4 linked regions of the Oreochromis niloticus genome follow. The protein of the gene in region 2 interacts with the protein of the main gene of each other region in a biochemical or structural test. Links are inferred from orthologs where the notes say so. Each region holds a gene or a part of one and is shown on either strand. Other genes may lie near its edges.

Region 1 (6,916 bases), on a different chromosome or scaffold from region 2:
TAGTATTGTTTATCAGAGGTCTCACTCCCTTCTTAGAGTGTCACAGCTACAGACTTTTGATTCTTATTTGAGCAGCACCTGGTAATCTGTCGCCATAGCAAAAATGATCACATCCTTATATTTGGTGTAGATAACGGTACAGATTGTTTACTGCAAGAGAAAACACCAATTTTTCTGTAACGAGCCACACAGACATCAATTTCTTGGGGTCAGCTGCAATTTTCAGGCAATACCATCGCTGCAATAGGATGCTCTAAGTCTCACACCCACATAAAGCCATGTTGTGGTTGAGTTGAGTATGCACACTCCAACAAACAAAACACTCCACATATAGTAAGAGTGGAAGGCAGAGTCAAAATCTTCAACATGCAGGGGGTCCAAACGGTCTGTTTTGGTTTAGAGGATCTTGGAAGAGATCTTTGATATGATCACCAGTTAAAAACAGTCTAATCAGTTTTTCCCCATAGGTCCAATTAAGTGGTTATTACATTTCAGGGTTATGATACGTAAAATAAATAATTTCTTATGAAGTTAAAATGCATCATTTATACATAAGACCCGAATCACACTCTAGAAATGACTAGAAGCAGATTCTACCCACCCAATTAAACATTAAAATCATCTAATAAAGAACTTATGAGCAACATACTGTATTTAAATGAGTGTAACAGCCAAGATCAAATTACCCCTTTCTATTGTGACAGGTCAGAACTATTGCGTGGAAGAAAAAAGAATATTTTGCCAGCATAATGATGGAGCAGCATGTATCATTTTTTGAATACTGTTTTATAATTCAATTGCAGAATTGGTAAGTAAATGAAAAAGTTGGCAACATACGGCAGCCATCTCATATCCATATAGCAGCACAGATGTTTAAAATGTATTTTTAAAACAAAGAAATGAGAATATATGCATGAGCACACACAAATCAAACTGCACTGTGTATTAAAAGTTAATCTGTGGAATATGCATTAATTAATTAGTAGATTTTGGGCTGTTAATTGATGGAAGATTAGACTAGCAAACAGAAAAAAATAATTAATTGTAAATTATTTTAACATGGTGTTTTCTTTTTTCATTCATGATTATGAAATAAGAAAAAAGCATCAAAGAGTGACTTTTTGTTGAACTGATTGAATGAAATATTGGCTTAATATAATGTTATGGACGGTGGTTGTCTGATCTCTTTAAACAAATATATCCAATGAGTGTGACCTAATATGATAAAATGATAATTGCACTACAGTCAGGCATTTAGCTATTTTTGTGATATATGGCTATAAATTAGGAGTGAGAGAGCATATCTGAGAAGTCAATAGGATAAATACTGTTTTTAGGCTCAATGGTCCTGTTGACTATTAACATCTGTTATTTTGTAGCTCAACTGATAGCAGAGGAGGGACAAGAGTGAAAGTGAAGGGCCCAAATGAGACTGAAAACACAAGGTAAGTTTAAATGTATATACTCTGACCACGGGCAATGATTTTACACCATACATCTTTAATAATGTTAAAAACTGAAATTGGATGCATAAGTTTGAATTTATTTTGGATTTTCTTTAATCCACAAAATTTAAAGAATTATATATACAAGTTCAAATATATACATACAGTCACTTAAATTGTTAATAAGTGATGCTGAAGGTTCTTTTAGCTTGAAAGGGGCAAGGTCTATTAACTTCTTGTTAGTGATCATGACTGACTGCAGGCATCCAGCATCAAAAGGATTTGTTTGAGAGCACTCATTAGATGGACCAGTATTCAGAACAATGGAAAACTCCGAAGAAGACTGTCAAGACTTAAGAAGATTTGCAGATTTACACAAGATGGGATGCAGATTCAAACTGTAAAAGCACAAGTTATTTGGACACATCACTATTTTGCCAAAGTATGAAAGAACACACAAACTGTCATTCTCAGATAAGAGGAAATTATTTAGGATGTTCAGGAACAAACGATGAACCACCAAGGCTCAACCCTGTCATGAACTGAAAACTGCTGGAGCACCAGTGTCACTATCCATGGTGAAGATGGTTTTTATATATCGCCAAGGTCTCAGAGGGTACCAACCAAGAAAGAAGCACCTGCTCCAAAACTGAGGCCTTCAAGTTTGATTGTAATTAGCAGCTGCCCATATGGACAAGCCAAATGTCTTGTGGAGAAAAGCTTTGTGGTGAGATGAGACAAAGATTGAGCTATTTGGCCATGACAGCATGGTGGTGGTAGCATTATGCTCTGGAGATATTTTGTTGCCAGTGGTTCTGGTATATTTTGCAAAGTGAATGGAATAATGAAGAAAGAAAACTAGCTCCAAATTTTTCAAATTCACCTCAAACCAATAGCTAGACCAGGGGTGGGCAATCTCAGTCCACGAGGGCTGGTGTCCCTGCAGGTTTTAGATGTGTCCTCGAACCAACACAGCTGATTTAAATGGCTAAATTAGCTCCTCAGCATGTCCTGAAGTTCTCCAGAGGCCTGGTAACGAACTAATCATATGATTCAGGTGTGTTGTACCAAGGTGAGATCTAAAACCTGCAGGGACACCGGCCCTCGTGGACTGAGATTGCCCACCCCTGAGCTAGACCATTGAAACTTGGATATTGTCCAATTGTCCAACAGGACAATGATCCCAAACAGACATCTGAACTGGTTTCAGAATGGATGAAGCTACTGTTATAGTTTTCTGGTTATGATGTCCATGAAATCTGTTCCTCTTCTGAGTAGAGGGCCAGGGCTGGTTGAGCTCCTTCTCCTCCCTCTAGAGCAGAGCTCAGTCATCGTTATGCTGCCAGGTACACCGGTTCCTCGTCAGATCCGAATTAATTCCCAGTACTAAAGGACCAGTTGGTGCTTCCAGAATCCGCCAGATAGTCTGCTACTACCAAGCATGATCCTTGCTGGGCTCAAGAGCCAGTACACTTACCTGTCCCTTGGAATTAGTCCACTCACTAACTTCTGTCTCTGGGTAACCCCACTTGGACAATCTTCCAGCAACAAGTAGGAGAATCACTATAACACCATCTGTTAAACTGCCTGCATCTCCCTTTAAGGACCAAACTAACTTCTCTCTCCTCTCTCTCCCTATATTTTAACACTTTAATCATGTATTAGAGTACTAGTCCTGTTTACAGAAATTCATAATAACGATGAAACTTGTCACACTTTGTTTAACCTAAATTATGTTTTGGTAATACTAATACTTACTTTTCCATAATTTAAATTAGATACTTAAAAATGGTTTCACAGTCATATCTAACTTCCTGTCTTCTCTCTTCTGACTCTTTTTCCTCTCAGTACAGGAACCACAGGAGGAGGCAGCTCAAAGAGTCACTGCAGTGAGACACCATCCCTCTGAGTCTCATCTCCCTGAGTTTTTCAGGCTTTACCCACTTTTATTTTTAATAAACCAAAGATTATGCTTATAACTGGTCTTTGTGGTGCTTTATTGTTATGATTAATGTATGCATTTGTTGTTGTTTTAATCAGTAGTTATAGTCATAGTTATATCTTAATATAACTTATATTATATAACTTATGTTATATTAAGATTGGCTTTAAATTAAGCCAACTGTTTTTCTCCTCTTGGTGTCAGTGGTACAACTACACATGTATACTTTTATCTCTGAGTGCTGAATCCACGTGCAGCGCAACACACAACAGTGGAGACCGGTGATCTCTAGTCTTTTTGGTGTTTTACTTTGGAAATCGCAACCGGAATACGCGTGCAGTCGCACACTCACTGTTCTTCGGTTATACTTCGACCTTTGTATCTATTATTTTGTATCTGTTATTTTTGTTCTGTCAATCGTAATTAGATAACGAATTGTTTGTTTTTAAAACCGTGTAAGAGTCACTAGAAATTACATGAGACTATACAGTTAACACAGACCGTAATCTGGCGGCTTTTATTTTGGTATAGTAATCGGAAGTCGTATGTCTTTCCCATTCATCCCGTTCAACCTGCTCCAGTGCACCGGTTGGATTTAGCTAGCATCGCTAGAATAAGTGTTGATTTGTATTAAAACATGTCTTACCCAACACCATCCGACAAGCCTTCAAACCCAGAAAACCCCCGCGTCTTCTTGGACGTGGACATTGATGGGGAGAGAGGTCAGGACTGTTGTTTAACATCTATTTGGGCCACTTTAAGTCTTAGCTTGTTAGCTTAGCACTATCCTGGCACGTTCTAGTGACTTCTAGAAACTGATTTATATACCACATGCCAAAGACGCTATCAGCTAAAAATAACCCAAGCTGTAAATTACATGTGTTTGTCCTTTTAAAAGCCTTTACTTTTAGAGTATTAAGGCAGATTAAAACGTTTTGTGAGCCAGTTTTGTAAGTGTATGAACCACGTGTGCTTGTTTTGTCTTGTGTTACTATAATCCTATAACTGAAACATTAAAAGGTTAAAAGAGATACGAGTACACAGTCCATTGTATTATAATTATATGTTTAGGGCACTTAAAATGTTTTCAATCTTATTATTTCAATTTACCTAATCAATGATGATTTTTTTCAATATTGAAACTGTCGCTTGATAACCTAGTCCAGATTAATGTCATTGGTGTTGTAACTGATTAAACCGAGCTGCTTTCTGTCCTCAGCTGGCCGAATTGTTCTCGAGCTGTTTGCTGACATAACCCCAAAGACTGCTGAGAACTTCCGGGCTCTGTGCACTGGAGAAAAGGGCACTGGCAAATCGACTGGGAAACCACTGCACTTCAAAGGATGCCCGTTTCATAGAAGTAAATAGCCTTCATGTGATGTGACTTTTAACTTTGGAAGGAGAGCTTGAAGATGAATAGCTCAGTAGTTGAAAGGACATCCAGGGTAGCGAAGCATTTGGAGAATATATAGTTTATTGGATATTCAGCACATTTCCTAGGAGAAAATCCCAAGTTTTAGCATAATCAGTGGCTTGGAAACTAGGTGTATGAGTAACTATTTAAAGCTGTGAGTTTAGATAACACTGCTTGCATGGCTAAATTGCATATAGGTAAGTAAGAGGTAATAAATATATAATATTAATTCCTACAGTTTACAAATATACACAAAGTATGAGGTAGTGTATATTATAAATTGAATAGTTGCTTGTTCACACAAATGCTCTCCCTTAATAGTTGTGCAACAGAGCATTTAATATGCAGACTAAGTACCTAGATTCTCATGGGATTGTTGAGCCCTTGAGAGTTCAATTTTCATAATAAGACGCCTGGAACACTGTTGATATTAAGTTTGTTTAATGTAGGAAAAGTAATGTGGCTGTAAATTTGTTTTTGGCAGTCATCAAGAAGTTTATGATCCAAGGAGGCGACTTCTCAAACCATAATGGCACAGGGGGTGAAAGCATCTATGGGGAGAAGTTTGAGGATGAAAACTTCCACTACAAGGTACACGACCTATCACCAGGACTGCAAATTTGTAGCCATTTTCACACATGCACTGCATGTGCAAACATTATCCAGTCTTTAACTTGCCAGCTCTCAGTTACAGAGTATATGTGAATGCTGGATTACAGCAAAGGACAAATAGACATGTGTGTTGCCTCCTGGGCACTATATCCTGGCATTTAGCCACCTGAATTCAGCAATACATAAGCAAATGTTGCACAAGCTCCGATAGTATAAAGCTGGTAGAAAAGGTAAAATTCATTGACTGGATTTAATCAGTATCAGTTGCTTAATTTTAGAATCTGATGCTATGTCAGCTTATTATATAGGGAGGCACTAGCCCCTCCTGACATGGGCGCCACTTAGCCAGCCTGTAAGGGCTGGCGTAATGGTATTTGAGCTTCTGATGAGGTCACGCAGGAGGCGTTCCCCATAGTGAGACACGAAACGAATGCTATGAAAGAGAACTGCCCGGTGCAGTATTTTCATGCAATTTGAATAACACAAAGTTAGCTTGTTTTGCAAGACTTTAAAAAATACATGGTTGAGCAACACATGATGTATAGATCCCATATCTGATTTAAAAGCTCCAGGAGGTCACATGTAAGATATCAAATTTCCAACTTGTTGAACAATCCTTACCTTTAAAAACAATCTTATCTTCCCCTCCTGCTCTGTTGTTTTACATCTTTACACATCTCTGAGTGTTCCACATAAACCTTTTTTCTCTTCCTGGGAAATCACAGATGAGATGCACAGAAACACTTTGTGTACTTGAAATGACCTCCCACCTAAAAACATCTAAATGTTACTTTATGTTTCTCATCTCTTGTAGCTAATTAGATGTTGAGTATAGTGACTGCAGCTTTATTTATTTAATTTTATTTACATCTACTTCATGCATGCATCACAGGGGATGTAAAGGCTATGTGGGATGTCATTATGTTTGAGCAAGTGAAGCAACGCCAGGCTACAGCACACGAAAAATGACCTCATTCGGCAGTAATGCCAACAGTAATGCAGGTTTAATTACCTGTGAAGCGAACGTGCCGAAATGCTTTTCCAGATCGTTTCCGGCCTGCTTTAACCCCTCCTCGTGCCACACGTGAGAAAGGAGAACGGTGAAATAATCCGAACCTGATTCTCTTGAAATTGTCGGATGCTCATGTGTAAGATGGCTTATGATTCTACATCAGGTGATTTTAAAGAGTTAGCTGAATTTCTTCATGCGCCACGTTGTTTGTGAAGTTTTATCATCTTAAAAATGAAATGCTTGGCAACACAAACTCAAGAGCACGCTGGGATATTTGTGCCCTTAGTGCTTCTTGTCTTTCTTCTGCTGTCATTGTCTAAAGAAGCAGAACAAAGAAATTCAAAGTTACTCAGAAACGATGGCTATGTTTTTGGCTCATGTTTGATGTTCCAGCTGCTTTTTCCAACCTATTTTTTTCTCCATGTAGCATAACAAAGAGGGTCTTCTGAGCATGGCCAATGCAGGGCCAAACACCAACGGCTCGCAGTTCT
Region 2 (7,837 bases):
AAACTGTTAAAACTCTAAAGAGTCCATTGTGTCATTTTCATTATAATTCTATTATTGTTGGGGAAATTGTAATCCACAGTTTAATACTCACTGAGATACTCTGGGATGAGCTCCTCGCAGTTGTCCATGATGAAGACTCTGCGCACGTACAGCTTGATATTGTTCTTCTTCTTCTTGTTCTCAAAGAGGTCGAAAGGAGCACGCCGAGGCACAAAGAGCAGGGCACGGAATTCAAGCTGACCCTCTACTGAGAAGTGCTGTAAGGCAAAAAAAATAAAAAAACAAAAGTGATTATATATTGGGCTACATTAAATCAGACACAATTTTCCTCCTATAAAGAACTGCTACATTTTTAAAACAACATATCAAGAGCCCAACCTTGACAGCCAAGTGGTCCTCCCAGTCATTGGTGAGACTCTTGTAGAACTCTCCATATTCCTCATTCGTGATGTCATCTGGGTTCCGGGTCCACAGGGGTTTGGTCTTGTTCAATTCTTCCTGGTCAATGTACTTTTCCTTGATCTTCTTCTTCTTCTTCTTTTTGTCTGACTTCTCATGGTCCTGTTCTTCATCTGATCCAACATCCTCAATCTCAGGTTTGTCCTCATCCTTCTCCTCATCTTTCTCCTTCTCCTCCTTCTCTTTTTCCTCCTCTGCCTCGTCGTCACTCACCTCCTTGTCCCTCTCTTTCTCCACCTGAAGGAAAATACATTTGGTCACACGCTGAAGAATTTCCCTACACCTTAGCCTTAGGGAGTCACTATTTTATAATATCAGTGTTACAGAGGTTTATTCAGCAACTTTCTCAGAAGTCTAAAGTGCAAAAGCTATCTGCAATAGTTACAAATTGAATTCTTCTATGGGATCATTAAATATGACTTAAGTACTTACAAATAGCGTAATAGGGTAGCCAATGAACTGTGAGTGCTTCTTAACAATCTCTTTGACCCTTCGCTCTTCAAGGTATTCTGTCTGGTCTTCTTTGAGGTGCAGGATCACTTTAGTTCCACGTCCCAGTGGCTCAGCTGTAGAGGAAGACCATAGGTCAGTATACTTTATAACCACCGGGTTAGATAATTAATAATTCACTTCAAATTTGGGTTTATATCACTTACAGTTGTCTACTTTAACTGTGAATGAGCCACCAGCAGATGATTCCCAGGCGTACTGCTCGTCATCGTTGTGCTTGGTAACGACTGTCACCTTCTCGGCTACCAGGTAGGCAGAGTAGAAACCCACACCAAACTGACCGATCATGGAAATGTCAGCTCCAGCCTGCAGAGCCTCCATAAATGCTTTGGTGCCGGACTTTGCAATTGTGCCCAAGTTGTTGATCAGGTCGGCTTTGGTCATGCCAATACCTGTGTCAACTAGGGTTAGAGTACGCTCCTCTTTGTTGGGAATGATCTCAATTTTGAGGTCTTTGCCAGTTTCCAGCTTGGAAGGATCAGTGAGACTCTCATAGCGGATTTTGTCCAGTGCCTGATGGAGCAAAACACAATGTTAATTGTTTAAAGAAATTCCAGAATTTATTCTGTATTGATAAAAATATAATTCAATTTCTTAAGGGGGAAAAAAGCATATTATTTAATGTCTTTTTTATTTTAAATAATAAACAAAGCAACACAGTCTAATATTGCAAACTTACATCTGAGGAGTTGGAAATAAGTTCCCTAAGGAAGATCTCTTTGTTGGAATAGAAAGTGTTGATGATCAGGGACATAAGCTGAGCAATCTCAGCCTGGAATGCGAAGGTCTCTGCCTCCTCCTCCATTGGTTGGTCGTGCATTTCAGGCATCTGAGTGAAGACGGAAAACAAATATTGTTTTTAAAAAAAATGCATTGACTAAAGTGACTGAAACACAATATAAAATACTCTTTTTTATAACACTAAATGTTTGCATCCCAGCAACATACACTTGAAAAACACTGCCAATCCTTCTTATGTAAGATGTTGCAGTTACAGCTTATCCTTATTAAGTAGCCTCAATGTAACATTGAGGAATTAACATCACTTCAAACTAAAGCAAATTCTGTGTAGATGTGTAGTATATAGTCACTTTTTTTGGTTTCTTTTTTTCTTGCTTACTTTCATAATTTTGTATTAAAAGGTACAAGGACCTTTTTTCCCCCCTTCTTGGACTGTGATTCAATCCTGCTTGGTTATTGGCTAATCAGAGATTAACACGTGGCTTGAATTGCATATCGGTATCAGCAGAAATTACTCCACCTGCTGGTTTCCCAGGTGAAGTGCAAGTTTCTAGAAGGTACGAGGAGGCAAGAAGAACTCTCTAGCAGTTTCCATATGAATCGAAAGCGCCCGCCTCTCATACAGCTGACGAGATTATAAGAATGCACACTCTGTACCCTACTGATTTTGCACTGAATTAAAACCTGGTACAAGGATAAGATGGCCCAAAAAATCTTGCAGAAATCTTAGCACAGGAAATTTGATTAAGGTTCAAACAGTTAAACCCCTGCTTAACATAACACCTTCCTCCCAAATGCATCACTAAAGCATCCTGCCATGTGGCTACTGTCCCGCAGGTTTGAATTCTGAAATGAGGCACAATAGGAATCAAATTCTTATTACCGTTTATGACGCTGACATTAAAATTTCAGAGCAGATACTTTTTAATCAGTTTTTAAAGACCAGGTGCTGTAACTACATTTCACCCTTTCTTCACTTCAGCCTCACTTTCTATCCAGACATGACAAAAATGTCAGCTTCGATTCTAAATTATTGTCAAATAAGCTAACATTTAGTACTATTAAATCTGAATTTGAGGGCGTGTAATATTTTCGTATCCCAAATGTCTGTGGTAAGGCTGTTAATGCATTTACCTTGGTTTGCAGTGTGCCCAAAACTCCTGAGGAAGATGTGTAGAGATCGCTCCTTACTCGCAGGCTCGTTGACTGCTAATGCTTCTATGGAAACTGGTGTAACGGTGCGGTTTTTATACCCTCTATGACCATTCGAGAAATCCTCCTGACACAAGCTTCCAGAACCGTCTGGAATCCTCCTGCTCGGTGGTGGCCGCTCACTGGCCCGGTGCCCTGTCAATCATGGTGCGTGTACATGCCTCTCTGCCTTTCTTGGCAGAAGGAGGCGGGATTAAGGGAGGGGAGGCTGAGCCGAATGAGGAAGGCATGTGAGAGCAGAAACTAGAATGAACCATGCTGTATTCACTGAAAATTCCAGAATACATGATAAATCAAACGATGTAATTGATAAAAGTAAGCCACTTAGCTGTATTAAGCGCTTCTCTAATACAACTTTTCACCTTTCAGTATTATTGTTTGTAGGAAGCAAAAACAAGTGATAAAATTAAGTGACAGGTGATAAGATAAGAAAAGTGACAGGTGTCATTTTTAAAATATATTTTATTACAAATTTGATTGCTTTTCATAAAAAATGTTACAAAAGAGATATAAGTCTAAACCCCGGTGACTTAATAATACTCTTAGTGATTGTCAGAAGTTTTATAAGTGGCTGATACAATATAAACTAAAGCCACTGTGGTCTGTATTAATTCCATCAACTTTTTCTGACTAGCACATTGTTTACTAACAGAAATTCTGCTAAAAAATAATGTACATTTAAATTAGGAACATAAATTACAAAAATAAAAATCAAAGCCAGAAAAAGTCTAGTAAATAATTTAGTCAACTTCCTCCATTCTTGATGTGTCATCGTCGCCTTCCAAGACTGGCATATCTTCATCAGCAGGCTGAATTATGTCTTCAACTGCAGAATCATCATCATCAATTCCTGTGTATAGAAATACATCCATTAAAAAACAAATTCCTCAATTAATGTATAATAACCTAACTACTACCTGGATGTTTGAAGGAAAAGCTATACATACCAAGACCAAGTTTGATCATTCTGTAGATGCGGTTAGCATGTGTTTGTGGGTCTTCCAGTGTGAATCCTGAGGAGAGCAGGGCAGTCTCGAACAGAAGGATGACCAGGTCCTTCACAGCTTTGTCGTTCTTGTCAGCCTCTGCCTTCTCCCTCAAGGTCTCAATGATTGGATGCAAGGGATTAATCTCAAGGTGCTTCTTTGCAGTCATGTAGCCCAAGGTGGAGTTGTCTCTCAGTGCCTGAGACTTCATGATCCTCTCCATGTTTGCCGTCCATCCATAGGTGCTGGTGACAATGCAGCAGGGGGAAGCAACCAAACGGTTCGAAACTACAACCTGTCAGGATGGAAATACAGTATTTTTAGTATGTTTGAACACAGTCAAGCAAGCTTCTCATGCCTAATAATGTTAACTATAATAACTTTATCATTTTCTGAAGGAGAAAAATTACCTTTTCAATCTTCTTATCAAGGATGTCCTTCATGATCTTGCAGAGTTCCTCAAACTTAGTCTTGAGCTCTTCCTGCTTCTTCTTCTCCTCCTCATCCTCAGGCAACTCCAGGCCTTCCTTGGTTACTGAAACCAAGTTCTTGCCATCGTACTCCTTCAGCTGCTGGACACAGTACTCATCAATGGGCTCAATCATGTAGATGACCTCCAGGCCAGCTTTTCGAAGGCGCTCCACAAAAGCAGAGTTGGCAACCTGGTCTTTGGTCTCACCTGTTAAAGTTATTTCAGTATGGTGTTATATGAACTTAAACTCCCAGGGAATACTTGAAAACAAAAGAAAAGGAAACCACACTGAATAACTTACCAGTGATGTAGTAGATGTGCTTCTGGTTATCCTTCATACGAGAGACATAGTCCTTGAGGGAAACCATTTCATCTCCAGAGGCTGAGGTGTAGTAGCGGAGCAGCTCAGACAGTTTCTTCCTGTTCTGGGAGTCTTCATGGATTCCAAGCTAAGCATAAAAAACAATGTGTCATTTTGTGTTATTAACATCAATGCAAAATGATTGGTATCATACATTTTTTCTGAAGTTTTAGAGTGTAAGAAATTTAGATGGATGATCCTACCTTGATGTTCTTGGAGAACTGCTCATAGAACTTCTTGTAGTTGTCCTTGTCCTCAGCCAGTTCTGAGAAAAGCTCCAGGCACTTCTTGACCAGGTTCTTGCGGATGACCTTCAGGATCTTGCTCTGTTGCAGCATCTCTCTGGAGATGTTCAGTGGCAAGTCCTCAGAGTCCACCACACCCTTGATGAAATCTGAGTAGGGAAAATAAACTGGTCAGCTACCCAAAGCCAGGAGTTGAGTTCCAAAAACAATTACTAATAACTATGAATTTTGAGAGAATGCATCATTAAAGGGTCAAGATTTTGTTCACTATTACTAATGTGTTACTTTATTGTTACTTACTGAGGTACTCTGGGATCAGTTCTTCACAGTTGTCCATGATGAAGACCCTGCGCACATAAAGCTTGATGTTGTTTCTCTTTCTCTTGTTTTCAAAGAGGTCAAATGCAGCTCTTCTAGGTACAAAGAGCAAGGCACGGAACTCCAGCTGGCCTTCCACTGAGAAATGCTGCAGGGGTAAGATATAGATATGTATTAATTAGCATAACATTATTGCAACTGGTGTTGCTAAATATGTTTTATCACAAGAAGATTTAGCTTACCTTCACAGCCAGATGGTCCTCCCAGTCATTGGTAAGACTCTTGTAGAACTCGCCATACTCTTCATTGGTGATGTCATCAGGGTTACGGGTCCAGATAGGCTTGGTCTTGTTGAGCTCCTGGGCATCAATGTACTTTTCCTTGACCTTCTTCTTCCTCTTGTTCTTGCCATCCTTTGTATCTTCATCCTCATCAGAGCCAACGTCCTCAATCTTAGGTTTGTCCTTGTCCTCAGCAGCCTCCTTCTCAACCTCCTCTTCCTTTTCTCCCTCCTCCAGGTCTACTTCCTTTTCTCTTGTCTTCTCCACCTTAAATATGCAAAGGCATATTTAAATTTTGCTTTGCCATACCATTATCACACCCAATGTGTGGTTATTATCAAGTATTGATTGGATAATTGTTCTTACTGTGTAATTAAAAACTTACAAAAAGTGTGATGGGATAGCCAATGAACTGTGAGTGCTTCTTCACAACTTCTTTGACACGCTTCTCCTCGCAGTACTCCGTCTGGTCTTCCTTGAGGTGAAGGATCACTTTTGTGCCTCTGCCAATTGGCTCTCCTAAAATCAACAACAAAATTAGAACCGTGGCAGACAAGGTCAAATGACTGATTCAATTGTTGTGTAAATGAGGCGACTAAGACATACCTGTATCAGGCCTGACTGTGAATGAGCCTCCAGCTGCAGACTCCCACATATACTGCTCGTCATCGTTGTGCTTGGTAATGACTGTCACCTTCTCGGCTACCAGGTAGGCAGAGTAGAAACCCACACCAAACTGACCGATCATGGAGATATCAGCTCCAGCTTGCAGAGCCTCCATGAAAGCTTTGGTGCCGGACTTTGCGATTGTGCCCAGGTTGTTGATCAGGTCAGCTTTGGTCATGCCAATACCTGTGTCAAGGATGGTCAGGGTGCGAGCGTGCAGATCAGGCCTGATTTCAATCTTCAGGTCCTTGCAGGACTCAAGTTTGGTGGGATCCGTCAAGCTTTCATATCTGATTTTATCCAAGGCCTGTCGAAAATAGATAACTCAATTAAAATAGTTTTGGGGGGCAAAAAATATAAGGGCTTGCTTTACATTCAAAAAAATTGGAAAACATGGTGTTGAAGTGTTTATTTCCCTTACATCTGAGGAGTTGGAGATGAGTTCCCTAAGGAAGATCTCTTTATTTGAGTAGAAAGTGTTGATAATAAGGGACATCAGCTGAGCAATTTCAGCCTGGAAGGCAAAGGTCTCCACCTCCTCCTCCATAATGTGTGCAGAACTCTCAGGCATCTAAAGGGGAAGAACATATTGGGTAACATTTTTCAGAAAAAAAAGAAATTGTACCTCTGTATTTTTTGTGTTTTCGAATAATTATATTTTCACCTGTAGTTTAAATTAATTTACTATGAACTTCTTCGGTTAAGTTTTTCTCAGGCAGCCACATGGCCTGCTGATGTGCACATGTTCCTTCTGTCAATCACAGAACTGGCATTTTTGGGGGGTTGGGGGTTTGGGGGGGGTTCAGATGCTTTGGAAACCCTTAATAGCTTCAATGTGTGTAGTGTTTTTGTTAAAAAAATAGCAACTTGAAATTCAAAGATGAAACAAAAACTAACTTTGTTTTTTTAGCATAGGAAGGGGTAGTCTGTTGTCACGACTACTGCATATATTTTTTTTGGCCTTCTAAGAACATTTCATACATTAAACAAAGGTTTTAATCCAGAATGAATAATTCCTTTACAGTTCTATGGGATTCATATTTATGTCACTAAGCTAAGATGCAAATGTGCTGCATCAGCTGTTAGAATAGATTCTGAGAAGCCATTGGTCCCACACTTGGGTCACCTTGCTTGCCATGTGCTTCATGCCTGTAACAGTCCTATTTAGACACTGATAGAAAAGCACATACACTATACCATTCTGATTCTAACCAATATTAAAGGTTTAAGTTAATTACATTATATCACAAAAGCACCCAATATACTGTAAAAAACAAAAGTTGTTGTAGATTTTCTAATTCTTACCTTGAATATAATCTTTATTTTCTGTTACTTTGTATAGTTAAACCAATCACTGAGCTTGATTTCTCTTCTTCAAAAGCTTCAAGTGTGTGCTTGGCTGCTGCTCCTGTGAGCAGTAAGTGTCTCTTGTGAATTAAATCACTCACTTCACATAAAACCTTACAAGCACCCAGTATACTCTAAAATCTAAATGATTGTTGCATTGATTCCATTCTTACCTTGGATATAATCTTTGTCTTCAGTCACCTCTAGGAGAAAAATGTATCACTGAGCTTGACTTCTCT
Region 3 (7,217 bases), on a different chromosome or scaffold from region 2:
TGATGGAGTGGCACGCACACAGGCCCGCAGCATATCCAGCAAGTCCCTGACACGGCCTCGGTAGAGCTGTAGGGAGGAAAAAAAAGTTGAAAATCCAGCCCACAGCATGTAATAACAGACAAGTCTGAGGTAATTGTCGGTGCGTACCCTTGTTTTGGCATCTGCTCCTATGACTCGTGTGATGGGCCTCATGCCATCAGTCTTGGGAATAAAGCGAAGGCGGGAGATGACGGTGCCTTTGGGCAGGGATGCCACCTGAGCTGGAGTCAGCTCTTCCATCTGGCCTTTGGAAAGGTGACCTCTACATGAAAAGCAAATTTTGTTCCCTTTTTTGGACGTATGCCTCATGTCTGTATGTATGCTGGCTACTGTAGTAATGTTGTGTGAGTGTACCTGAAGGCCAAGTCTTGCAGTTTGGCCCAGACTTCCTGCCTGTAGAACCTGATGGCGTTTTTTTGCCCAATACTCTCTGTTGCATAGAAACAGGCTCTCACAAGGCCTGTAACATATCCATCCAGAAGCCAAGCCAAGAACTGACCCAGGACCTGTGTCCGATACGCAAGCTCGCTGGGTGGAAAACAGCCTGCAGACGAGTTACGTTGGTTCGGTCAGGCATGAAACACGAAGCAATCAAAAAGAAAAAAAAAAAAAAGATCATTGATGATAACCTCACCTGTTTTACTCCTCTTCAACCAATCACAGTCATTCACCTTTATCTTCCACATCAGTTCAGCCAGTGAGAGCCTCTCAAACTTGCCACTTCGCAAGAAAGTCCTGACCCTGGCAAAGAAATGCAGCCGGTTTTGATCAGAGCCCCACAGTTCTTGCGGGATCACAGAAGAGAGGCATTCCCGGACAAACAGGTAAACCCTGTGCGGTGCACAGTGCTGAGGTAAGAGTGAGTTTAGTTCTCCCTGTCCTGCATTGCTCTCCTCTATTGATGGACATAACCTCTGTAGTATTTTGGTGTAGGAACAGCTCCTGTGTTGTTGTAAGAGCTGCCTAAACAGGGGGACCATGCCAAAGAACCTCTGGGGGAGTTTTTTAGGCTTCCTCTCTACTCCATTCAAATACGCTAGTCCCTCGAAGAAGACTATTCTTACCAGATCTTGTCCTTGAAGCCTTCTGGATCCATGAGCAGTCTTCTTCCTCCTGTTAAGAAGAAAGCCACGCATGCCCCTGCCCCCATACAGGAATCCCAGGGTGCGGATAAAACATTGCGAGGGTGGTAAAGGGGGGAAAATCCCTGATCTCCAACTAGGACCGCCCTCCAATGTTGGCATTTCAACAGGCTGTTTGAAAGCTGCAGGCGGTGCTGATTCCACAGGCACAACCTGTCCTTCCTTTTCAGAGCCAACTGGTTGGATCGCCTGTTGATGTTCTATAGACGCTACTCGCCGCCTCTTTCTTGAACAAACCGCCACCTCCTCCTCTTCACCAGTTTCCCGTTTTCTTTTCCCTTTTTTCCCTCCTTTATTCCTTCTTTTCATCTTCTTGCTTGCAGCAGGATTCACAACTGTGCGTTTCTGTTTCAAACTCACTGACCCTCGACAGCTCTCAATCTTGGTACGATTATGTTTCCTGACTCCAGGCTGGAGAAAAAACCCACTCGAGGCCATGGTCATGGACACCCTGTCATAGACTGGAGGGCCGCACACCTGGAAAACACACGAAGGAGGAACTGCCACAAACACAGAGCAGCTCTCCAGAAGATATTGCGTGATGTCTGTGCCCAGACGCATTGTGACTTTTTTCCACAGGTCACTGCCGTGGATGTAGGCAGCACTCTGTGTTACGTCGCCTTGGAATTTGAGGAAGTCTGCATCCCGATCCTCCTGAGCCAGGGTCTGAAAGTTATAGCCATGTGCCAAGACATTCCTTTTTCTTTTTCTTTTTAGAGTGTTGAGAACAAACGCCAGTAGTTCAGGCAGACTGCAGATCTGTGGAAAGTATGAATATATAAGAAGAAGCCATCTCCCATTAAGCTGTTAAACCCTGACAAAGGCAAAACTTCAGACTCTCTTATAAACCTGTCAGCTTACTGATGTGTGCATCTATACCACAAGTCTCATTTCAATATAATATAACTCTATGCTATATTAGCCCGGAGACTGCTACAAAACAATACTCTGAGTTCTTTATTCTTCTATGTGATTAAAATTGATTCAAAGTTACCATTTTCTTTACTAACTAAAACCAGAGCCATTAAATCAAAGAGTCATGGCACTCGAAAGATCCTGAAATGAAATATTCCACGTATAACTTAGCACAGTGAAAACCCTTTTACAATATTATTGTGGGGCCCACCCCGTGTCCCCGTGTAGAGCCGGACGAATATATCGGCTGATATTAACTATCTGTCATTATAACTGGATACATTTAAACATGTCTAATAAAGGAGAAATGGGGGGGGAAGTGCCCCAGAAGAAAAAAGAAGACCTTGCTGAAGCTTAAATATCCTCCAGCAGCGCATAGTTTTCTCCCAGCTTAGTTTCAATATACATATATATATATATATATATATATATTCAAAATATAGGAGTGTAACATGGTTTCCTGGCTTTAACATTATAACAGCATGGCAGGCAGAGTTAGCTACACCGCTTCAAACGTCCACAGAGGGCTGCGTATCAACTCCTCAGGACTAACCTGGGAAATGTACATGTATATTTTTCAATCCGGCGAAACGTTACCTGTTTACAGCTCGCTACCTGCTGTAGCTCCTTGTCAAAGCACACAAAAACACTCCTAACGAAAGATTTGAATCGGTTTGTATCTGTCTGCTCAATGAGAGCTGCTTTCTGTCCTTCTCTGAACACGATGCTGTCCGAAAACTCCTCCAGTGTCTGCGTGTGCCGGTACAGTAACCGAAGGATATCCAGCACACCGGACATATCAGTCGCAGACATACCGACTGTGTTCGGAGCACTTGGACGGAGGTTAGCTACTTTACACTGGGATTTAGCTATGTTTGACCTTTTAAGGGCCCGCGTCATGCTTAGCCTATGGGAAAGCGCTTTATTGGAGCTGGCCAATCAAAAGTCCTCATACTAAAGGGGGGAAATTTACTGTTGACCAATGACAAACAGGTAAAGGCTTGTTGTCTTTTGGCACGAGTGTAGTGAAAAAGTGACAGTATCACGTGCGATTTGAACCAATACATTAAAATGAGAACTGCTCACCAGAGATCATTCATTCTGTCACGCGCATTATATGCGCACCACAGGCGGTTAAAGCGACATATTTCTGTGACCTTAAAATTACATTTTAATTAAAAAAACGCAAACAGCAGCTTTCAGAAGAACAACAACGATAGTGCTCTACCTGATGTGCATCTGCTAAAGTCCAGACAAATCCCCCAAGAAACACAATAACCACACGGGTGGTGTTTACCTTCATAAATTCCAGTTTGTAACAGTATATTTTACTAAGGATAACAATACATTAGCCATCGAAATTACTTGCAGCTGCACCGGAGTCTGCGATAGCCACGCGCACAGGTGCTGCGCCGTAATTGGTGGGAAGACGCCCCTCTTTGTACCGAGCGCGCGAATGCACCCACGTCTCTCACAGTCGGCTGCTCGGTTAGCTAGTTCTTAGCGTGCCGTTGTACCTCCGGTGGTTTAAACGGTACCGGGGGTTTGCAGGCACACCGGAGAACCAGCTTGGACGAGGCTCAAGGGGCTGTACACCTTAACCACACCTCAGCTCTCAGTTTTCTGTCAGCTACGTGGGAGAAACATAATGGCAGACAAGGAAGGTAAGTGAGTATTTTAGTTGTCAGCAAAAAGAAACGATTCTGTTTGACGCCCCTCAGCTAGTTGCCCGGTTAGCTTAGGTGGCAGCTAGGGCAAGCTGCCCGTAGCTCTTGTGTTTTACTCTATAACAGTCAACACAAGCGGGGATAATTTAAGAGTGTGAAGGTGAACTTTACTGATGTCAAAGCTCAGTTATTGTTTGGGCACCGTCTCTGAAAAGTTGGGGTAATGATTTGTGTGTGAATACCGGGCAGAGGTGAAGAAATGAGTTCACATCTTATGGTTATGCTAACGCTGTAGCAAGGTGCGGGAACAATGAGAAGTTTCTCATAACACTGATAAATACCGAGGCCTTGTCAGGTTAACAGTCAAATCATTTGATAGCGAAATTTGTCGACTGTAAAGACCAACTTTTAAAGGTTGTTGTTGATTAACTGTAACAGAAATAAATCTAGTAACATCAACATTTAATATTAAACTAACAGCTTGAGTTAGTGAAAGCTATGGACATATCTGATGGGTGTTTGTAACTAAATAAAAAGTACAGTATTACTGTGTGTCCAATTATCATCGCTGGTTCTGTGACAATTTTGTCCTCAGCTGGTGCTTTTGATGATGCGGTGGAGGAGAGGGTCATCAATGAAGAGTACAAGATCTGGAAGAAAAACACCCCCTTTCTTTACGACCTGGTTATGACCCATGCCTTAGAGTGGCCCAGCCTGACTGTTCAGTGGTTACCTGACGTCTCAAGGTGGAAGCGTTTACACATTTGGCCGGTAATATATCTCAAACATGCAAGAAATTGGCATTAATGCATTAAAAACCTTTTTTTTTTTTCTCCCTACCAGGCCCGAGGGGAAGGATTACAGCGTACACAGGCTCGTTTTGGGCACTCACACTTCTGATGAGCAGAATCACCTGGTTATTGCTAGCGTGCAGCTGCCCAATGATGATGCCCAGTTTGACGCCTCACACTACGACAGTGAAAAAGGAGGTTGGTATATTGATAAAGAGAATGTATAATGCATTTACTTCATATTTTATATACTTATAGCCTGCAAACATATTTCTCTATATTTCCCTGAAGAGTTTGGAGGCTTTGGCTCAGTAAACGGCAAGATTGAGATTGAAATCAAGATCAATCACGAAGGAGAAGTGAACCGTGCCCGCTATATGCCCCAGAACCCCTGCATCATTGCCACTAAGACCCCCACCTCAGATGTGCTGGTGTTTGATTACACCAAGCATCCCTCAAAGCCAGGTGCAACAGTCACACAAAGCACAACACACTGCTGAAGATGGCATGTTCTTGAGTACGTTATGAAAAAGTGCATTGTAATTGGTAGCTTACTGGTATTAAAACAATTATACAACTTCACCAAAACATAAATACTGGGCGCACAGAGTCGCTACTCAAAAACAAACTTGTCTGTTCAGTTCTTTTAAAACCACACCTCTCTTCCAGTGTCTCTGAATTGACAGTTGATTTTATTATGTTGTCTTTAGATACTTCAGGAGAGTGTCGCCCTGATCTGCGTCTCAGAGGCCATCAGAAAGAAGGCTATGGTCTATCCTGGAATTCAAATCTGTCAGGAGCTCTTCTTAGTGCGTCAGATGATCACGTAAGAGGAAGTAGTTCTTGTTTTAAGAAGAAATGGCGCTTTCTGTTTTTCATTTTTAGCAGCAGATATTTCCAACTAGGGCTGTTTTACATATTTATGTCATAATAGTTTCAATCACTGTATTTCCAGTACCATAAATAAAAGTAGACTGCTTTGCCAAAAAGTCACACACACTGATATTTTGGTGGGCCGACTTTAGCCTTCATGACCGTTTGCATTCACTGTTTGGTTCCAATCCCTCAAGTTGTCTGTGTGACGTGCACGTGGAAATGCTCTTAATTTAAATATTAAACTGCTCTGTTTTGTTCATTTGCAGTTTCTATTACTGTAGTTATCACATAGCATTATTTCTACAGTTAGGTGATTGAACTAGCATTTCTGGTGCCAGCTGGTGAATTAAATCATTTACTCAGCTGATCCTTTACATCAGGGGTCTCAAACTCCAGTCCTCGAGGGCCGGTGTCCTGCAACTTTTCCATGTGTCCCTGTTGCAACACACCTGAATGCAATTAGTAAGTCATTAGCAAGACACTAGAGAACTTTTAGACTGCATGCTGAGGTGGCAATTCAGCCATTTGATTCATGTTACAGCAGCTTATGAGCGAATGAACGTGGTGCAATAAAAGTACTTTTAGAAGTACATTTTTCCAAACACTTACATTTACGTAAATTTACTTGAGTAGGGGTTAGGGGTTGCCACTTTAGCATGCAGGTGAGTTTTATATTCTGGCTAATTACCTACTAATTTTATTCAGGTGTGTTTGCAATAGGGACACCGGCCCTCCAGGACTGGAGTTTGAGACCCCTGCTTTACATTCATAGCTACAGTGACTTCTAAGTGTTTTTTCCACACAAATGGTGTCATAAACTGACCTCAATGAAATGTCAGGAAGGTATGAAAAAATGTGCACTGCCAAAAACCTGCTGTTAACAATCATTTTCCACTTTTACCACGTTTTTACCAAACTGAAGTGCAAACATGAGGTTTGATGTGTTTATGTGGTTTTTGTTACTTAGACCATCTGTCTGTGGGACATCAGTGCTGTTCCCAAAGAGAGCAGGATAGTAAATGCAAAGACGGTCTTCACCGGTCACAGTGCTGTGGTTGAAGATGTCTCTTGGCATCTGCTTCACGAGTCGCTCTTTGGATCTGTAGCAGACGACCAGAAGCTTATGATGTAAGACTCTCGGTCAAATACCACGCGCAGATGAAGCACACTTACAGTTTTTTCAAATGCAGCAAAAGGATGAGCGTCACCCTGTGTCTTGTCCTTTAAGCTGGGACACTCGTTCAAACAATACCTCCAACGCCAGCCATGCAGTGGAGGCCCACACAGCAGAGGTCAACTGTCTGTCATTTAACCCTTACAGCGAGTTCATCGTTGCCACCGGCTCAGCAGACAAGGTGATACAATATTCCACCACTTCTTAATTGGTACTGCTTTATTAACAGCAGGACTTTTAACTGAGTGCATTTGGTAACTGTTCACTAAATAATCCTGATGGTATTGTTAGTTTTGTAACTGCAGTGTTGTTGCAGAGATCAGAAAATGTTGCAGGCATGTTGTAATATACATCTGTGCCGCCCACAGACCGTGGCTCTTTGGGACTTGAGAAACCTGAAGCTAAAGCTGCATTCCTTTGAGTCACACAAAGATGAGATCTTTCAGGTAAGATGTTTCTTTATATGAATGAAATTGTACTGAAATAAGGACAGTACCTAATGGTGCAGTGATATAATTTTGTATATTTTATATTCATTTAAATTTAAAAATAAAGCACTGAAATAAATCTTATGTAGTACATGCTTCTTTTGACTCAACCTGCTGCCTTCAGC
Region 4 (7,315 bases), on a different chromosome or scaffold from region 2:
AGAATTTATCCAATCTAGGTTAGTAAGAAAGGGGCAGGTATGGAACCTAATCATAGTACACCAAGAAAGAGTCAAAAATATATTTTTGACTCTTTATCGATGACAAAAAAAAAATGTTTTTTTTGTCATTTTTATTTTAGATTTTACAAATGAGATGTGAATGATTGAAAACTGTAGCAGGTTTGAAAGCTGTCAATTTCTGCTTTTTCCATGCAGGTACTACTACCAGAGAGGCATACTGAATAAGGTTGAAGGCCAGCGCCTCGTTTACCAGTTCACCTCTCTCCCCAAAGACATGATTTACATCACCGACGGAGATGGCATCAAAGAGGAAGACGACGAGGACCACGACGACAACAGCGTCAACGACGAAGGCATGAGCGACGACTCTGACAGTACCATATCGTCTAGTGACCATTCAGCGGAGGAGCAGGAAGATTCTCAGCCACCGCCAAAGAAATCGTCCCCCATCTCCGGCCGCGCTCCCGCTTCACAGCGCACCAGGCCCGCTCCCAGGCCCTCAGCTCAGCGCGACACCGTCCTGCGTCCCACCAGCTCCAGTTTGATCCAGGAACAGCATCTGCCTATCGTGTCAGCTGAGATGCTACGCACGCTCCAGAACCTGCAAAAGGTCCAGTCTCTGAAACCCGCCGGTCATGCCTCAGTCTTCAAAACGGCTCAGCTGCTGGGGAGTCTGTGCGAGCGACAGGCTGCTGCCGAGGTGGCCATAGGGAGAAAAGGTGTGCCGGAGATGTCCGAGAAAAAGTCGCACCCAGGACCAAAAACTCCACAGCTCATGTCTCTGATTAGCTCTGACCAATAAAAATAACAGGTGCCCACTTTCTATCGAACACACAGATGCCTGTACACTCCACCGACTCAGGACCACTTACAGGGCTGCACTTTGCTATGACAATGCTGATTTAAAAACAAGGACTTTTGGTGTAGAATATTATTTTAGATCATAAGTACAGATCAGTGCTTTTGTCACAGCGCTGACAGGAACCAAAATCTCACAGCAGTTTACCTTCTCAGCTTTGAAATCTGATCATTTCGCCTTATTGTCATTCTGTGTAGCCCTTTGTTAAACCAACACCAAAGACAGACATGCACTGGAATCTCTGGCCTCTCTGCACTGCCTGCAGACGCTTTCTCTGCTTGCACTTCAGCTCCAGTGTCCTGGAAGCAATTATCTTATCACCACACTGTGCCCTTCTTCTCTGCTTTTTGCTCTCACTTTCTCCTACGTTGTTTAGTTTTGTGTCTTCATGCTATCACGTCCTGAAGCATTCCTTTGCCTTAAAAGTGGCTTTGCACTAATGTTTACCTCTGCTGTATATTTCTTCTGAAGTGCCTGAAGATGTCAGTCCATCCTATTCCTGGTAATCATAAGGGAAAACATTCCATATTGTTATTGTTATTATTATTATTATTATTGTTGTTGTTGTTGTTTTTTAAGATTGCTGCAAAACAAGGGATCACTGTTATTTTTTCAAAGTAGTATTTTAGCACTTGCGCTGTTTATTATTTGTTTATCTACACCATGGGACTCTTTTTTTCTATTTTCTTCGTGACAATCACCAGTGAAGTGGCCTTGTAGCCACCCTGCCTCCTGTAAAATTATAGTGCTACTATTTATCTTTTCTCTTGTGCACTAGCTATCCATATATGAGTGCATATATTAAACTCTGAATCCTCTATCTGTATGCGTCTATTACGCACCGTAGGGCCTCAACATTAAAACCACTGTGTTGGCTGAAGTGAACACTGGTCATTTCGTTACAGTGCAATGCAATGTTTGGCTGGCGTTCACGTGGGTTTAGCATCAAGCTCAGCATTGCAGAAGGCGCCAGCAGCGGCATCGCTGCACAAAGCAGACCTACATATTACCAGGCTGGTGGTTTTAATGTTTTGGCTGATCTTTGTGTACTGTATGCCTGTGAAAGCTTGTTCTTTTGATGCCATTTTTTTTTTCCTTCCCTCAGGTTTATAAAGCATTTTTGTGCTGCACATATTATGTACTCTATGCAAGAAGTAAAAGTGAAATTGTTAGTTTATTATTTTCTCTTCGCCCGGTCTTAGCGTAGGCTCACGAAGCCGGCTTACAAACTTCACCTCACTCCAAATTTAAAAAAAAAATATGACTGAATAGTTAGGCTGGCTTTTTGAGAGGCTAAACTTGGCAAAGAGATGCTTATGCAGTAACTGTGCCTGCAGGGAACTCTTATGCAGAACTATTTTCACTTTGTTATAACATGTTTGTTTGTTTGTTTTGGTGTTTTTTTGCCCCTTGCTCTTCAGTATGTGTCTTGGGAATGTCTTACCTTAATAGATTTGTAAGCTTGTAGTAGAGGGAGAGGTGGAGCTTGTTTTTTTTGTTTTTGTTTTTTTTTAATGCTGTGTTGTGTTTGCTTTCATGCAGTCCAGTGATGTTAAAGCTAATCGTCTATTATATGAAATAAATTTACATTTGTCATTGTGTGAAATCCATCATTGTTCCTTTGGAAGACTTGGAGCATCAGTAGACGTAGCTTGGTGAGTGTATATGTCGCATTTGAGCAGTGCATTCAACTGCTGCTTTATCAGTAAAGGCCTAATGCAGTGATACAGATCTGCCAGAACTACTTCTACAGAATTCTGACACGATCAGTTTTTCTTTTTTTGCTGTTGTCAGAAAGGTGTTAATTCTATTTTTGATTTGGTGAAGTTGTTTTTTGGCTTACCACATTAACACTAACCCGTCCTGTCATCGTGATAACTCACAAACAAGCTGATGTAGGTTTTTCCAGCTGATACCATAGCTGCATTTACTAAAAATCATGGACAAGTTTGCATCTCTGTTACCTTGTCAGAGGTCAAGCTCTGTGAAAATCTTGTGAACATAGTAACTGAAGAAAAATGTCACATAGGCTTTTCAAATTGATACCATTGAGGAGCTTGTAGGTGGCTGAGGGGTAGCAATGGCGACCACCAGTCTTTTTAACATACCAGTGGTGCTAATCTGAGGTGGCAGAAGTGCAGATACCTCTGTTAAAAAGTGCTCTGGTAAAAGTTAAAGTACTGATTCGACTTCTTTACTCAAGTAAAAGTGAAAACTACAGGCTCTGAAACGTACTCACAGTAAAGTAGCTCTTTGGAGGGCCTTTCTATACCAGCTATTTTTGTGCAAAGCTAACTGAGCTATAGTAATATAATAAAATGACAGTAGTACATAGCAATGCAGTCTTTATTATATAATTTCTGATCTAAATTTTATTTCTAATGAATGTATTCAACTTGAATCAAGTATGCAGAACATGAACATAGAAAAAGAAGTTTATTTTGTGTTGCCTACAGTGTAGAGGGTGACTTTTCCTCTAAACAAGAAAATGTGTACAGTCAGGGGTTAAAGTTGATTCTGCACATGGGGAAACCCCAAAATCCACTGTAGAGGCTCAGTGTGGGGAAAAGAATGAGAACTCGCAATAATTTCTTCTGTGAGCTCCAGCAGATTTTCTTAGTGTACCGGCTGTGGTCAGCTGACCTGCTGCTCTTTGTGGACATACGCAACTGAATTCAACAGGATGTTACATGTTACACATACATACAGCATGTACAAGGATAGATAACACTAAATATGTCCCAGGGAAGAGGATTATTCTTCAGTCCAAAAGTTTTCCTCCTCCTGAGATCAGCAACAATATTTTTAAACACATGCAGCGTCACTGTTAGTTATCTTTTCTTCAAATAGCTACTTTACCTCTTGTTCTCCAGATGTGAACATTAATAATGTACACGACTACCTAGAATGGATGTCTTTTACCATCCCGCATTATTTCCTTAAAGAGACGTGCAACACAAATTTGTCGACTACAGTCAACATTACACCCCACAGCCGATTCGCTGTCTTATTTCCGTTGTTCTCTGTCTGATTACAGATCCAGCTGATGTTGGAGCATTTCATCCTCACAATGAATCATTGGACATTTTTGTGCTAACATAATAGGTCCATTGTACCATAGCTCTGACAGGAAGTCTGACTGAAGTCTGACTGAAATAAGCCATGTCTCCGTAATTCTCGGATATATTGTATCATTTATGTTTCCTGACCGTCTGGGGGAGTACAAATTGTTTGTGTTTATATTCTATCAGCCCCCATTTTTATTTTCATTAATGGTATTATACATTTGTTGGTGGGTGACCGTATCCAGTTTCAATTTAAACGTTTCTATTCTTTGACAAATCTGCCGCCTAATTCTCTGTCCAGAAAATCGTCTCCTTAAAAAAAAAAAGTTAGCGATAACTCCTCCGGGCCGTTAGGGGGAGTAGAGGCAGTATGAGCTGCGCGCAGCCGGATGTTGACAGGCTCTCTGCTGTGTTTGAGCTGTAACTGTTACCGCTATCACGTTTCTCGTAGTCTCCACATCTAGAACTTTCCTGTCACTCCAGAAACACTGTGCACATCCACAGAAGCAGATGGCAACCGAACGGTAAGTTCATCTAAATCTATCAATGAACTGTTCTTATAGCAGCAGACATTTCTTTTCTTTCAGTTATTTAACGCTAACTTGCTTTTTTTTGTTGCTTTTAGCAGCTTCCCCGATAGCTTCATTGACGAAGATCCACAGAAAGCTCTGCAGGTAAAACACTAGCCTCAGCTAGCCACAAACAAGTTTGTGCGATGCACGGTGGCTCTTGCAGGATGTCCATTTAACTTTAAATTCAGTGGACTTACTCTAGAAAGGAAATTGAGTAATACCTGTGGTGTTTGTGTTTCAGATATTACCAACAAGCTAGCGAAGTTAGCCAACATGTTTGCTAGCCCTATTTAGTTATGAATAAAAGTAATCCCAGAATCGCTTCGTTATCATATCAAACGGTCACCTGTTTCTTTAATACCATTAAGAATTAAATATGTCTCATGCGTGAGGAGGTATTACTACATAACGTTAGCTCGAAATAGTCTGCTGCTGGATACTAGCCCTGTCATCCTGACATGAAGTTGTTAACTGTCAACAGACTTAACCAGTGAAGTTTATTTCTGCTGTTTAAAAAGCCTCTGGTGAATCTGCGGTTATTTATGTGACTAACCGGGGCAGTATTATGAAAATCATTACAGTTTGATTTGCAGGAATAACACAGATTCAAATAGATTTACAGAGAGCTGATTCTTCTATAACGATATCCGACTGCGAAAGTGAAAGTTGCAGATGCATAACAGCTCTACTTTCGATTTAAGCATTTTTCTAGAAGTTTCTTTCCTGCCACAATTCTTGAAGCTGAAAACACGATTTTAAGCCCTTTATACAATAATAGCCACCTCGTTATTATTTTCAGGAGCTTAACGAGGCCTTACAAGGAGACTCAGACAACGCTGAGTGGTTTTGTCAGCGTGCCTATGCCCACATACTGCTCAAGAACTACAGCTGTAAGTCTGCATAGCACATGTGGAAACAGACCACACTAATTGTATTTTTGATGCATTATTAAGTGCATGAACATTATGTGCGCATTACAAATACGTGTTGTTTAGCTTTTGAGGTTTTACACTGCATGTGACTCAGCCTGGATATATGCACTGCATAAAGAAACATAGTAATTTTTTACTTTTGTTTTATGTCCACAGGTGCTGCTGATGACGCCAAGAAAGCACAACAGCTAAAACCCAGCCTCTCTCTTGCTTTCATGCGCACAGGGTATGGACTGTGAAATGCACGCCTTTACATAGCACTTTTCTAGCCTGACTGACCACTCATAGGGCCAAATTTACTAAAAGGGGCAAAATGGCAAGTGAGCACAATCCCCAAATAGTGCTCGCAGGTGTGGTTAGTTTTATAAGCAATGTACAAATATACTTTACAGTACAAGAAAAGCTTAAAAACACTGTGGGCCTTCCTCACATCCATGGCCAATTCAGAATCACCAACCTAACCCACAGGGGTCCACCCTGGCATGCAGATGTTTAGCTCAGTTTAGACTGCACTTCATTTACTGTTTGATATGTTCATCTCACCACTAAAAAAAAAAAGGTAAATTAACTAAAATAATAATTAAAACATGTAGTTTAATTGATTAAAAAATTATCCCTTCTGACACAAACGTACAGCCAGCTTTATTGACAAGATGGGATGAAACCTGCTGTGTATGGCTCATGTTTCTGATGTTATCTGACGGTTGTCACAAAACTTCTTTCAGCTCAGTGATTTCAATTCTGAAGGCCTTTGGTTCAGTGCTCCCCCCACACCCCAAACCTGACCTCTAACTTAAAGGAAAATTTTGAAAACCCGTCCTCGTCCATCAAACAAACTTCGGTCAGAGCTTTGTTTTAACACACAAATCACCAAAGTGGTACTGTCATGCTTTTTCACATTTTCCATTTCAAGCGGGCCTCGGAGGAGTCATCCTTGCCTTCGTCTCATCACGTTTGAACTATTGTAATCCACTCTACTCGGGTCTCAGACAAAATTCAGTCACCTGCCTTCACCTCATTCAAAACAAATTCACAGAGACAAGACAAAGTGATTTAAAGTTGAGCTGATTTGAAGCTTTTTTTAAAGTTGTATTTATTGTTACTTTTAAAACCTTGCATGGGCTCATCCTACCCGCACTGTAGATTTAGTTGGTTGGTGTTAATTGAGCGACTGGCTGCGTTTGTCAGGTCAGATCATTCTGTTCCCACAATACACCTCATTACATAGGTGTTTGAGTGTTTTCTGTTACCATAGCAACTGAGGTTAGCAAACTCAGTACTTTGAAATCACTACTCAATACTTTTCATAGTAAATCTATTTTTACTGCCCCTTTATTATTTCTTTGATTTACTTCTTTTCGTTGTGTTTATTCACCTGTTATTCACACAGCATGTTCAGATTTTATGCCTTGTTTTAATTTGTTGCCTCTTTGTTTTTATATATTTATCATGTTTTGTAAAGCAATTTGTAACTATATTTTATATATTTTTTCTTTATTGTTCTTATTATGTGGTCACAATATAAATTTGGTGTGGTTGCATTATGTAAAACTTCACGTTTTACGCCTTGCAATGTAAGAATTGTCTGAAACCTTTAAAGTTATACTTAAAAATGTAATTTCTAAAACTACCATCCATTCATTTTCTTCCGCGGAAGTGGAAGAAAACTACCAGTGTAGTAAGAAGTCTGATTTCTGCGCTTCCTCAGAAGTTAATGCACAAAAACTACCAAAACATTTTGCTTTAACAAGGTAAATCATACAGATGTTGTTTGTCAGATGAAGCTGCGTTTATTTTTCCAAGATTGCCTGATCTAAGTTCATGTGGCATGTTTTTCTTGCCCAACTGCAGAATAGCCGAATATCA

What was found.
Region 1: the proteins of hsp90aa1.2 (region 2) and ppid form a complex in vitro, tested with the Homo sapiens proteins (2 studies listed by BioGRID). The link is inferred for Oreochromis niloticus from reciprocal best matches to the Homo sapiens genes HSP90AA1 and PPID.
Region 3: the proteins of hsp90aa1.2 (region 2) and tert form a complex in vitro, tested with the Homo sapiens proteins (2 studies listed by BioGRID). The link is inferred for Oreochromis niloticus from reciprocal best matches to the Homo sapiens genes HSP90AA1 and TERT.
Region 4: the proteins of hsp90aa1.2 (region 2) and sugt1 form a complex in vitro, tested with the Homo sapiens proteins (4 studies listed by BioGRID, with this or other methods). The link is inferred for Oreochromis niloticus from reciprocal best matches to the Homo sapiens genes HSP90AA1 and SUGT1.

What each region holds. Positions count from the first base shown.
Region 1 is NC_031966.2:12,642,603-12,649,518, forward strand, and holds the start of ppid (peptidyl-prolyl cis-trans isomerase D), read left to right. Parts: upstream 1-3,906; 5' UTR 3,907-4,024; coding exon 4,025-4,109; intron 4,110-4,606; coding exon 4,607-4,747; intron 4,748-5,285; coding exon 5,286-5,392; intron 5,393-6,852; coding exon 6,853-6,916. Other genes in the region: spmip2 (uncharacterized protein C4orf45), read left to right, coding at 1,380-1,445, 3,294-3,354. UniProt on the Homo sapiens protein: PPIase that catalyzes the cis-trans isomerization of proline imidic peptide bonds in oligopeptides and may therefore assist protein folding. Proposed to act as a co-chaperone in HSP90 complexes such as in unligated steroid receptors heterocomplexes.
Region 2 is NC_031980.2:5,312,192-5,320,028, reverse strand, and holds the start of hsp90aa1.2 (heat shock protein HSP 90-alpha), read right to left. Parts: upstream 3,023-7,837; 5' UTR 2,845-3,022; intron 1,799-2,844; coding exon 1,649-1,798; intron 1,483-1,648; coding exon 1,116-1,482; intron 1,026-1,115; coding exon 892-1,025; intron 697-891; coding exon 379-696; intron 258-378; coding exon 92-257; intron 1-91. Other genes in the region: hsp90aa1.1 (heat shock protein HSP 90-alpha 1), read right to left, coding at 3,663-3,772, 3,870-4,203, 4,319-4,587, 4,682-4,829, 4,945-5,135, 5,287-5,452, 5,547-5,852, 5,971-6,104 and 2 more. UniProt on the Homo sapiens protein: Molecular chaperone that promotes the maturation, structural maintenance and proper regulation of specific target proteins involved for instance in cell cycle control and signal transduction.
Region 3 is NC_031985.2:28,041,009-28,048,225, forward strand, and holds the start of tert (telomerase reverse transcriptase), read right to left. Parts: upstream 3,012-7,217; 5' UTR 2,997-3,011; coding exon 2,694-2,996; intron 1,941-2,693; coding exon 674-1,940; intron 584-673; coding exon 394-583; intron 302-393; coding exon 148-301; intron 67-147; coding exon 1-66. Other genes in the region: histone-binding protein RBBP4, read left to right, coding at 3,745-3,760, 4,359-4,509, 4,607-4,752, 4,846-5,019, 5,265-5,380, 6,398-6,558, 6,659-6,785, 6,973-7,050. UniProt on the Homo sapiens protein: Telomerase is a ribonucleoprotein enzyme essential for the replication of chromosome termini in most eukaryotes. Active in progenitor and cancer cells. Inactive, or very low activity, in normal somatic cells.
Region 4 is NC_031982.2:7,942,055-7,949,369, reverse strand, and holds the start of sugt1 (protein SGT1 homolog), read left to right. Parts: upstream 1-4,309; 5' UTR 4,310-4,455; coding exon 4,456-4,469; intron 4,470-4,570; coding exon 4,571-4,619; intron 4,620-5,316; coding exon 5,317-5,407; intron 5,408-5,605; coding exon 5,606-5,675; intron 5,676-7,300; coding exon 7,301-7,315. Other genes in the region: ETS-related transcription factor Elf-1, read left to right, coding at 217-823. UniProt on the Homo sapiens protein: May play a role in ubiquitination and subsequent proteasomal degradation of target proteins.